2 linked regions of the Arabidopsis thaliana genome follow. The protein of the gene in region 1 purifies or fractionates together with the protein of each later gene. This does not show direct contact. Each region holds a gene or a part of one and is shown in the gene's direction. Other genes may lie near its edges. The genes, in order: PI4K GAMMA 7 and UFD1.

Evidence for each region.
Region 2: the proteins of PI4K GAMMA 7 (region 1) and UFD1 purify together in Arabidopsis thaliana (affinity purification with mass spectrometry, with the first as the bait; one study listed by BioGRID). This does not show direct contact.

What each region holds. Positions count from the first base shown.
Region 1 is NC_003071.7:1,183,439-1,189,272, forward strand, and holds PI4K GAMMA 7 (phosphoinositide 4-kinase gamma 7), read left to right. Parts: upstream 1-2,019; 5' UTR 2,020-2,361; intron 2,362-2,492; 5' UTR 2,493-2,760; coding exon 2,761-4,713; 3' UTR 4,714-5,243; downstream 5,244-5,834. Other genes in the region: REME1 (Pentatricopeptide repeat (PPR) superfamily protein), read left to right, coding at 1-14. UniProt on the Arabidopsis thaliana protein: The phosphorylation of phosphatidylinositol (PI) to PI4P is the first committed step in the generation of phosphatidylinositol 4,5-bisphosphate (PIP2), a precursor of the second messenger inositol 1,4,5-trisphosphate (InsP3).
Region 2 is NC_003071.7:9,105,896-9,111,059, forward strand, and holds UFD1 (ubiquitin fusion degradation 1), read left to right. Parts: upstream 1-1,670; 5' UTR 1,671-1,945; coding exon 1,946-1,961; exon of another isoform or gene 1,962-2,183; coding exon 2,184-2,233; intron 2,234-2,342; coding exon 2,343-2,420; intron 2,421-2,586; coding exon 2,587-2,611; intron 2,612-2,696; coding exon 2,697-2,729; intron 2,730-2,820; coding exon 2,821-2,942; intron 2,943-3,035; coding exon 3,036-3,166; intron 3,167-3,355; coding exon 3,356-3,576; intron 3,577-3,670; coding exon 3,671-3,918; intron 3,919-4,018; coding exon 4,019-4,117; 3' UTR 4,118-4,366; downstream 4,367-5,164. Other genes in the region: AT2G21260 (NAD(P)-linked oxidoreductase superfamily protein), read right to left, coding at 1-28, 109-328, 411-543, 694-811, 896-990, 1,281-1,413; SULA (NAD(P)-binding Rossmann-fold superfamily protein), read right to left, coding at 4,607-4,848, 4,935-5,005, 5,095-5,155.

The sequences.
Region 1 (5,834 bases):
GTGACTACTGGTAACAATCAGATGACTTTAGATTACTATGAAACAGAGTATAAGATGGTTTAGAAGATTGTTTCTCTGCAAGTTTTCTTCATCAAATTTTTTGATTAGTGAATCATTTTTGCTTATGAAGAAGCTCATTGATTTGCCAAATTTTCCTGATAGGATTTTGTAACATTTGCAAAATTGAATATGTATGATAAAATTGGTCATTGGAGTATGGAGACTCACTAATTTAGTAATTTGTGATAAAAAAGAGTTTCTTCAGAATAACATGTATTTAATTGTTTCCTATAAATGTATAGCAGTTGAGTTAATGGGAAGACACTTGCTGCACATGGATATGGATCATGTATCATAATTTATGCTTAATCTCTCTTTATTTTTCTGAAATAAAAATCAGTATAATAGTCAAAAAGTGTTCAAAGCTGAATTGTGCATTATGGAGACAAGATCTTTTATGTCCAAAGTGGTTTAATCTCATTATATATTATGATTCACTATTACTCATGTGGACTTAAAAGTGCCATCGTAGTCGCTTTATTCATTCGATACCTAATGGACTTCATAATTATATTGAAATTATTTTTTATGACTTTTATAATTACATATATATTCATTGTTAATTCTTCAGTTATCTTTTAAACAAGTTAAGATATGATTTATCAATATTCTTATTTTATTTTTAACCCAAAATACATATTTTTATCTTAATTAATCTAATTATTTTAAAAATATTAGATAATTATTATTTTTACTTATTTCAAAGTATTTTTGGTCAGGTATTACTAAGGTTATAAATATTTTTAAAAAATCATATGTAAAATCATATCTTTTGTAAACATAAATAAATTTAGCTAATTTATCTTATAATTATATCCTTGTCGGTGTATTTCTTGTGTCGAATGTATTTCTAATCATTTGTACAATATGAACTATGATTTGTAATTAATTAACTTGTCACTAGCTAATTTTAACTTCATTTTAATTATGGGCTTTTAAATTGTTAAGGCCCAATTTGTAGCTTCATGTCATCGCTACATCCTATTAAAACCAAGTCGGCATTCTCATCCTTTGCCACGTACCACTTCCAGATCGGACGGTCAAGATTCCATAAGAATCTATAATCGAACGGTTCTCTTTGCCTGTTCTAGACTCTTCCAAAGATGGGGACGATGATGCATGTTCTTTTTTACTATTTTACCTGTCAATATATGCCTCTATTTACTTCGAGACTTTACGCTACATATGTCAATTTATGCCTCTATTTACTATGCTATTTTTTTACGCTTAATGTTACAAACTTTAATGTTTTCTTTATGATAAAATGGGTATATATTTTCATTTTTTTCAACTCTTTATTGGTGAGATCGCACGTCTTTGCCGTAGTGATTCATATAGAAAATATCTAAGGGAACATGAACTATAAATTAATAGATTTCACATTATTTTGTAACCTTGAATTATGTGTAATAATTATATTCCAAGTAATGTTTAGTTATTTTCTAAACTATACATAATTCAATAAATAATATAATAATCGAAATCGTGGACAAAAAAAAGGTACTAAAAACTGAAGAAAACTTCTATGGAACTAAAGCTTCACACTTGTCATAGATTTATCAGTTTCATATTATTATTGATAAAAATAATATAAAATGAATAAAAACTTCAAACCAAAGAAAATATGAAATGGCAAATAGAGCAATTATAATTTCCACTGCAAAGGTATTAAATAATAACGAAAGAAATGAGGAAATAATTTAAATTGTAGTAAAGAAGAAGACAAAATAACATTTCAAAATAGATTTTTTATTTCCCAAAATATAAAAATAGTAGATTCGATTACAAAATTCTTAACCAAAATCATAATCTAGCCGGTTTAATAAATGAAAGAAAACAAAATTAAACAGGGTTATCTAAAAAACAACTATAGGAATAATAAATAATACGATGACGTGTCATAAGGATAGATTTTAGAATTTAATCCAATAACAAACAAGTTCGCTGAAAATAAACCATGGTTAAGAGATTTAACCAGAGGACTCAGATCAGAGTTAAAAAGCGTTCCTTTGAGAGGTGAATCAACGAAGGAGACAACACAACACACACACACACAGAGAGCAAGCAAAAGAGGCGGCTAGGGATCAGAGAGTGGTTCCTTCACTGAAAGTTTCTTCTTTTTCATTCTCTTCTTCTCCTTCAGATTCCTTGCCTCTTCTTCAAGATTCTCCTCTCTTCCATGTGCGTTTCTGTGCTTTTGAAGACGACGATGATGATGATGATGTCTTTATATTGAAACCAAATTCGTCTCCACGATTGTTTCTTCTGAGTTTTGATTTTTCAGATCTCGCTTCTTTTCCGGTGAGTTTCACGCTTTTTCTATAAAGCTCATTGATTTGTTCTTAGTTTTGTTTCTCTTCAATTTCTGGAATCGATCAAGATCTTAATTTGATGGATTAGTGAGATTTAAGATCTGTTTTTTTCTTTTGCAGATTTGTTCAATCATCATGGCTTACCTGATGTAGTAATTGGGATCAAATTCATTCACAAAGCTCGAGTTTTTATTATTAGTGGCTACTGTTATCTGTGTATAGAAGAAGCTTGTGTGTGTGGTTCTCTACGTTTCATGATCGGTTTAGGTATCTGTTATATCCGGCTCGTGTTGGTTTCAGATTTAGGCACTGGTCTAGAAGGTCTTTCTTCGGCTACTGCTTCTTCTGTTCACCAAAAGAAGCCTTTTTTGGTTTCTTCTTCTGTTTCATGTCGAGGAACTTAGACAGTCCTGTTCAGACACAAATGGCAGTGGCAGTTTTCAAGACTCCTCTTACTGGAGCTAGTAAGATGGAAGGGAAGCAGCATCATAAGCATCAGCATTTACAGAGGCAATCATCGGGGAGGAGAGTTTTCGTGCAGACTGAAACTGGTTGTGTTTTGGGGATGGAGTTGGATCGTAGTGATAATGTTCATACTGTTAAAAGGAGGCTTCAGATTGCTCTTAATTTCCCTACTGAAGAGAGTTCTTTGACTTATGGTGATATGGTGTTGACGAATGATTTGAGTGCTGTGAGGAACGATTCTCCGCTTCTGCTGAAACGGAACTTTATGCATCGAAGCTCGTCTACTCCTTGTCTTTCGCCTACTGGGAGGGATTTGCAACAGAAAGATCGAAGTGGTCCTATTGAGATACTAGGCCATTCGGATTGCTTTTCGATTGTTAAACATATGGTTAAGGACATTGTTAAGGCGATGAAGATGGGTGTTGAACCGCTTCCTGTTCATAGCGGGCTTGGAGGTGCTTACTATTTTAGGAACAAAAGGGGTGAGAGTGTTGCCATTGTCAAGCCGACGGATGAAGAGCCGTTTGCACCTAACAACCCTAAAGGCTTTGTTGGGAAAGCCCTTGGGCAACCTGGATTGAAGTCTTCGGTGCGAGTTGGGGAAACGGGGTTTAGAGAAGTTGCTGCTTATCTTCTTGATTATGGTCGCTTTGCTAATGTCCCTCCAACTGCTCTTGTGAAGATAACTCATTCTGTATTCAATGTCAACGATGGGGTGAAGGGGAACAAGCCTCGGGAGAAGAAGCTGGTTAGTAAGATTGCTTCTTTCCAGAAGTTTGTGGCTCATGATTTCGATGCAAGTGATCATGGTACTTCAAGCTTCCCTGTAACTTCTGTGCACCGCATTGGTATTTTGGACATAAGGATCTTCAACACAGACCGTCATGGTGGGAATCTTTTGGTGAAGAAGCTCGATGGAGTTGGTATGTTTGGTCAAGTGGAGCTTATTCCAATAGACCATGGCCTCTGCCTGCCAGAAACACTTGAGGATCCTTATTTTGAGTGGATTCATTGGCCTCAGGCATCATTACCATTCTCTGATGAAGAGGTTGACTACATACAAAGTCTTGATCCAGTGAAAGACTGTGACATGCTTAGAAGGGAACTTCCAATGATTAGAGAGGCGTGTCTTCGGGTTCTTGTTCTCTGTACTATTTTCCTTAAAGAAGCTTCTGCATATGGTCTGTGTCTTGCCGAGATTGGCGAGATGATGACTCGGGAATTTCGTCCTGGAGAAGAGGAGCCAAGTGAACTGGAGGTTGTGTGTATTGAAGCCAAGAGATCAGTCACTGAACGAGATGTTTTCTCTCCAAGGTCAGATGTAGTAGGAGAAGCAGAGTTTCAGTTTGATCTAGACTGTGATGATTTGGAGTCAGTCTACAGTTCTAAGATACAACTAACCGATGACTATTTCACCAAAAACCCTTTTTCAAATGGACGTTCTTCGCTCGGGAAGCTTGAAGAAAGCATCAAGGAAGAAGAAGAAGATGAAGAAGAAGAAGAGGACAAAACTGAAAATACTGTCCCTATGATCATTATGAAAGACAGTTTTTTTAGTTCAGCTGCTTTTCATGACAAGGCTCCATCTCTTTCAAAGCTTTCCACTTCAATGAAGAACACACATCTTAGTGACACGACACGTAAAAACCCAAAACCCTTAACCAGAGGCAAATCCGAGAACACATCGTCTGGTCACAAAAGCGCAAACGAACAGCTTCCAGTGAGTGCAAGCTTTGTGAAAGTAGCAGACATGAAAGAAGACGAGTGGGTTCTCTTCCTCGAGAGGTTCCAAGAGTTACTTGGACCGGCTTTCGCAAAACGCAAAACCGCAACGTTGAGTAAGAGACAGAGACTTGGCACTTCATGCCAGTTTTGAGAGTCGTATAGTAAAAAGTAAAACTCGAGAAGTTAAAAGAGACAGTATGGAGTAAAAAACTGAAGACTTCTTCTTCAGTTCTATGGTAGTAAAAAACTAGTAGTTACTTTTGGAAGGTTTGGCTTATGACAAGCGACGAGGTGAAGAAAAGGGGTTTTGTTTGTTTGTTTTTTTAACTGTTTTGTAAATATTTCTTTTACTACTCTTTGTGATCTTCTTTGTTTGTTTGTTTGGTTTTTTTTTTGCCCCTTTTATCACCTTCTCTTGTTTTTTTCTTTGGTATGTCCTTGTGGCTTGGCCTTGTCCCATAAATAATATTAGTCTTCTTTCACTTTTTGGTGTGGTCGTTCATTGTTCATACAATGAAACCCAGACATATATAGTGGACCGTTTGATGTATGATTCAGTATCCGCATAAAAGTATCACACCGATGTTTAGATATGTATGTTGCGGTTGTATCACCTAACCGTCACACACTGCATTTTTCACCATTCATAGTTTAAATGTCCTAGTGGCTTGGCCTTGTCCCATAGGTTTGATAGGTGTTACAAAGAGAGACAAGAGAAAGTGGTAAAGCGTAAGCGTGATGGTCCCAAAGACAGCTGCAAAGAAAGCGATATGGGCATCGACGACCCATTTTCTCCATTATCCATTTTATCATATCATCAGGTTATGTACAAAGTTGTCAAAAAAGTTCAAAGAATCATACCAAATTTCGACGCAACAAAACGATGATATTGAATGGGACCCCATTTGTGGGTAAGGGGTTATCATTTTTATATCCGTCCTTTCGACAAGACAACATCAATTTAACGTAACATTCCTTTGATGTATTTTTTTTTTCGTGTGTAATAGTACTTGTACTTCTATATGTAATAATGTGTACTATCCAAGAGGCAACAACACTATTTTACATATGAAGTTTTGAATTCTTCGGTCAATTTTTTTTTTTTTCATATTTGAAATCAGCCATGGATCAATATAATAATTTACAAGAAATCAGTTACTACATACAATATAATCGTATCGTTTGATTGTTTCGATGGTGGTATATGTTTTGTTTACAATAAAATTCATATGATTGGTTTCCGTACCTATTATATTTGAAATGTTCTAAATT
Region 2 (5,164 bases), 7.9 Mb from region 1:
CTGTCTGTTTGTACTTCTCGGCCACATCCTATGAATTCAGACAGACAAAAGGTTTAATTATTTAACTGTTTCAGTCCAAACTTTTAAGGTTTAGAGGATGGGGCTTACTTTGAGAACTGGGTCATCCAGACATGACACGGTGCCAAACCATTCGGCATTGGCTGTGGCACCTCCCAGAGGAGTATGAGCAGTGACACAGATACCATGTTTCTGGCAGAATTTGACTAGAGAATCGCGTTGGAAGTAAGGATGTGTCTCGATCTGATTCACAGCAGGTTTGATCTTGGAGTAAGCCAAGCAATCTCTCGTTAGAAAGACATCATAGTTACTGCAAAAAACCTAATGGTCAAATAATTCATATATTGGCGACTAAACAAGAGAACTTGTAATGATAGTGAGAGAAGTTGAACCTGATTCCAATGCTGCGGACTAAACCCATAGAAACAAGCTTTTCCATGTCGTGCCATGTAGTTTCCAGAGAGATTGTTGTATCTATGTCCAATACCCCATCATCCCCCAAAGCACTATCGGTTGTTCCTATTCCTGCACAAGGCTTACATGTTACAGCTTATTACTCTGTGTGCCAATTGCTAGAGACTTGAGAAAACTTAATTTTCCAGCCAGTAACAAGGCTGAAATGCAATGGTCTCTACTCGAAACTGATAATATTCATGAACAAGGCTGAAGCCTAACCCGTGTGTTTTGTAGCTATGGGTATATGAACGAGGAAAAGGTCGAGGTAATCAAGTTGAAGTTTCTTGAGACTGTCTTTGCATGCCTCAATAACATGGCCATGGTCTGAACTCCATAGCTGCAAAACCAAGACAGAGAGCATTCGATCTGAAATGAACTGATATCAAAGGTATGTAGTAGTTTAACTTAAAGCCGTTTGGACCTTAGTCGTAATGAAGAGATCCTCCCTCTTGACAAGACCTGTCGTGAATGCTTCTGTAAGAGCCTCACCAACTTCAGCTTCGTTCTTATAATTAGCTGAACCAAGTAACCCCAAAAGATACTCATAAATCAGGATACAGAACAAAGCAACTCACTCACATGCAAAGAAACAAAAACAATTGTCTGTGATACAGCAAAGACTTAAGATCATTCTACGATTCCAAATTTCCAAATACTTAAAAACCCAAATCTTAAGACATAATTTCCAAGTAAGATTCCAACTTTCAACAAATTAAAACAAAACCTAATATTTTATTCACATATCCTGACAAACCCGAAGCAACAAAGATCAGAAAGAAAAGGTTTTAAGCAGTGTTAAGTTATACCAGCACAGTCGAGATGACGATAACCGATCTTGATGGCATCGATGATAAGGTCTCGAAGCTCTTCTTTCTCCATTCTCCAAACTCCTAAGCCGATGATCGGCATTTTGAAGCCACTGTTCAGTGTAATCTCCATTTCTTCTTCTTGCTTCTCTCCTCAATCCGTGATTGGGTAGATATCTGCTCAGAATTGAGAGTTTCCCAGTATGGTAAGTTGGTAACGCACACGTCAATATAAAGTGGTCATGATTCCTCACTATTCGAGGCCCAATGGGCTAGTACCGTTTTTTGTGAAGCCCAAACTGTTTTACAAAGACATGAATCAATACGCACCGTATGGGTATATATATATACAAGCAACGTTATCACAGGTCCTCAAAGTTTGCATCTTTACTTGGGTTGTGTCTGGAATCAATTACTTCCTAAAGGTAATTTTATTGGTCGGGCAGCTCAATCGGTGGTTTCTGAGTTCTTATTCTTCTCTGATAATCTCAAGACGAGCTTTTAATTTTGTAAAGTTTTTAGCTTTGGTATTGTTTGTATCGATCCCACTCTCAACTTTTGATCGGAATCTTCTGTTCTGGGGATTTCCGGTGAATTGTTTAGGAATAGGTTTCCAAGGATCTTACTTGGGTTTGTTTCAAAAGGTGGGATTTTGCAAGTTGTAGATGGTTCTTCGATTTTGTAGGTTTCTATTCTTCTGCTGAGATTCGAAATTGAGGTCTTAGGTTTTTGATAATAGCTTGTTTAGTTATCTGTTAAAGTCACTAACTTTGATGTTCCTTCCGGTCGGAATTGTTGGCCACAATTGATTATTGAAACCCTTAAATTAAAGAGTGCCCTCTTTTTCTCTTTTATGATTTGGATCTCTTGTAATTGACTTGTGTGAGGTTTCTTTTTCTGTAGGTTGCCATTTGTTAACTTACTCTGTTAGTCTACTACCACCAATAACTATGGTAAGTGTATTCAAAGCTTTCCTTTTTAACCGTTAGTCTTCACTCTAGCTTTTATATCTCGCACCCTTGGTTTGTTTGTCTAAACCTTTGGAATTTAAACTCGATGCAGTTTTTCGATGGATACCATTATCATGGAACAACCTTTGAGCAGAGTTACCGGTGTTATCCGGCATCTTTTATCGACAAGGTTTGATTTCATCTCTCTACTTTTAGTTTAATTCCCTGATAAGTGAATCTGAGAGTGCTCTTTTGTAATGTTAGAATCTTAGTCGTTGTCATGTTCTACTAAGTAAGTTCTATAAGAAAGCTGAGATCTAGTATCTAATTTCTATTTCCTTTTCTCTTCCCTGCAGCCACAACTTGAAAGTGGTGACAAGAGTAAGTCTTCTATCTAGACACCAATGTTTGTTTCCATCTGTATTGTTCAAGCCTGAGGTTTTAATTTGTGTTAATTCTATTTCAGTTATAATGCCACCATCAGCCCTTGATCGTCTAGGTATGCTCCTACTGGTTTTCTCTTTTGGATTTGGTCTAATATTTGTTTAACTTAGAAACATATCAAATCGCTAATATTGGGGACTTTACAGCCTCTTTGCATATTGACTATCCGATGCTGTTTGAGCTTCGTAATGCTGGAATTGAACGTGTTACACACTGTGGAGTCCTTGAGTTCATTGCAGAAGAAGGCATGATTTACATGCCATATTGGGTAAGAATCAGTTTCCTCTTTGTTTGTGAATCGAAGTACTCTGGATCATGTGGACTTACCAGACTGATTGTTTGCTTCTTTGATATAATCCAGATGATGCAGAATCTGCTGCTGCAAGAAGGAGACATTGTGAGAGTTAGAAATGTCACTCTTCCAAAGGGAACTTACGTTAAACTACAGCCCCACACAACAGACTTCCTGGATATATCCAACCCGAAAGCCATGTGAGTCCGACTTATTTCTACCCTCTTGTATTTGAGCCCTCATATACTTTCCCACATCATGTTGTTTATTGCTTAGAGAATGTATTATTATATCTAAGTTCTTCCCGTTTTCTGGCTCGTAGTTGTTTGATGTCACTCTTTTTATCTTGTTCCCAATATTCTTTACTGATAATTGAGTGAACGTTGCAGCTTGGAGACTGCTTTGAGAAATTATTCATGCCTAACTAGTGGGGATAGCATTATGGTTCCATACAACAATAAGAAGTACTTCATAGATATAGTTGAAACAAAGCCTGCTAACGCAATCAGCATCATAGAAACAGACTGTGAGGTTGATTTCGCACCTCCCCTCGATTACAAGGAGCCTGAACGTCCCACAGCACCTTCTGCAGCTAAGGGTCCGGCAAAAGGTATCTATCCATGGACATGAAATCATCAGATGGACTTACTATCAGCTTCAAGTTGTTAGATTCTCATGTGTTCTTTTCTTTCCAAATTTCACAGCTGAGGAGGTTGTGGATGAACCTGAACCAAAGTTCAACCCTTTCACCGGATCTGGAAGACGGTTAGATGGGAGACCTCTTGCCTATGAGCCAGCGCCAGCCTCTAGCTCAAAAGGCAAACAACCTGTTGTCGCTAATGGTAATGGACAGTCATCTGTAGCAAGTAGCTCAGAGAAAGCTACACGAGCTCAGGGAAAGCTTGTATTTGGGGCTAACGGAAACCGTGCTCCAAAAGAAGCTGCTCCGAAAGTACGCATTCAGAGTTTATTGATAATTGACAAAACAAAAACTGTAATGGAATTGAGAGACAAATGCATATGATTGTTCATCTCTTAATTTTTTTTTTCAGGTTGGAGCTGCAAAAGAGACAAAGAAAGAGGAACAAGAGAAGAAAGACGAGCCCAAGTTTCAAGCTTTCTCTGGGAAGAAGTATTCATTGAGGGGTTGATCAACTCACACAATGGGTCTACTCAGTCTATTTATGACCTCTCATGTTGTGTACTAAAAATACAAGGAAAACAAATAAGTGAATAAATCTCTGGCTCCTCTTGACGCGGCTTGTTTTCTTTATCAGATTCAATGCAACTTTCTACAATTCTCTGCTCTTTTATATTCTTACTGTAGGATATAAGATTCTGAGCACCTCACTAACATAATGTGTTCATGAATAGCAAGCCATGCTCTGTAGCTCTTTACCAATGAACCAATGACCAAAGAACATAGATGAGAAAGATGCTATGTCTGAGTTATAATATCCTCAACACATCTGTGATCTCTGGTTTCTGAGATAACACCGAAAACACTTTTTACCATAAATACATTTCTCGAGTTTTACTCAAAAAGAAAGATATAGAGACGAAAAGAAAAGAATATCTTGTTTTTCTGGGGATTTTCTGTGATCAAAACCAATTTTACAAAGATGCTTATGTGTGTCACCTTATTGCATAATGGCTCTGAGTGCATCCTTCACGTATTTATACTTGAATTCAAAACCAAGCTCTTTGGCTCTTACAGGTAATACCTTCTGTCCCTCCAGAACTACAGTGGCACCTTCTCCGAGCAAAGCTTTGAGTGCAAAGTCAGGAACTGGTAGCCACGATGGTCGGCTAAGAACACTGCCTAGCTGCTGGCACATTTCCCCAAGCCTAACCGGATTCGGCGCAGTCCCATTAATAACTCCTGCCAACAACCAGCACCAATAGCATTATGCTTCCCTTGACCTATTCTTAAAAGGTAACATAGAGGACAAGTATGTATGTTGTTACCTTTATAAGATGGATTAGTGAGGGCCTCGTAAATTAAGTTCACCAAGTCATCCACGTGAATCCAAGAGAACCTACACAATGAATTATGGAAATATGATATGATCTTCAAATTCGTAGAGAGACATTCAATAGATAACCAGAAAAAGCATCCAACGTTTACCATTGTTGTCCGGAACCCAGAGGTCCTCCAGCAAACATTTGGAAAAAGGGTATCATCATGGCTACAATGC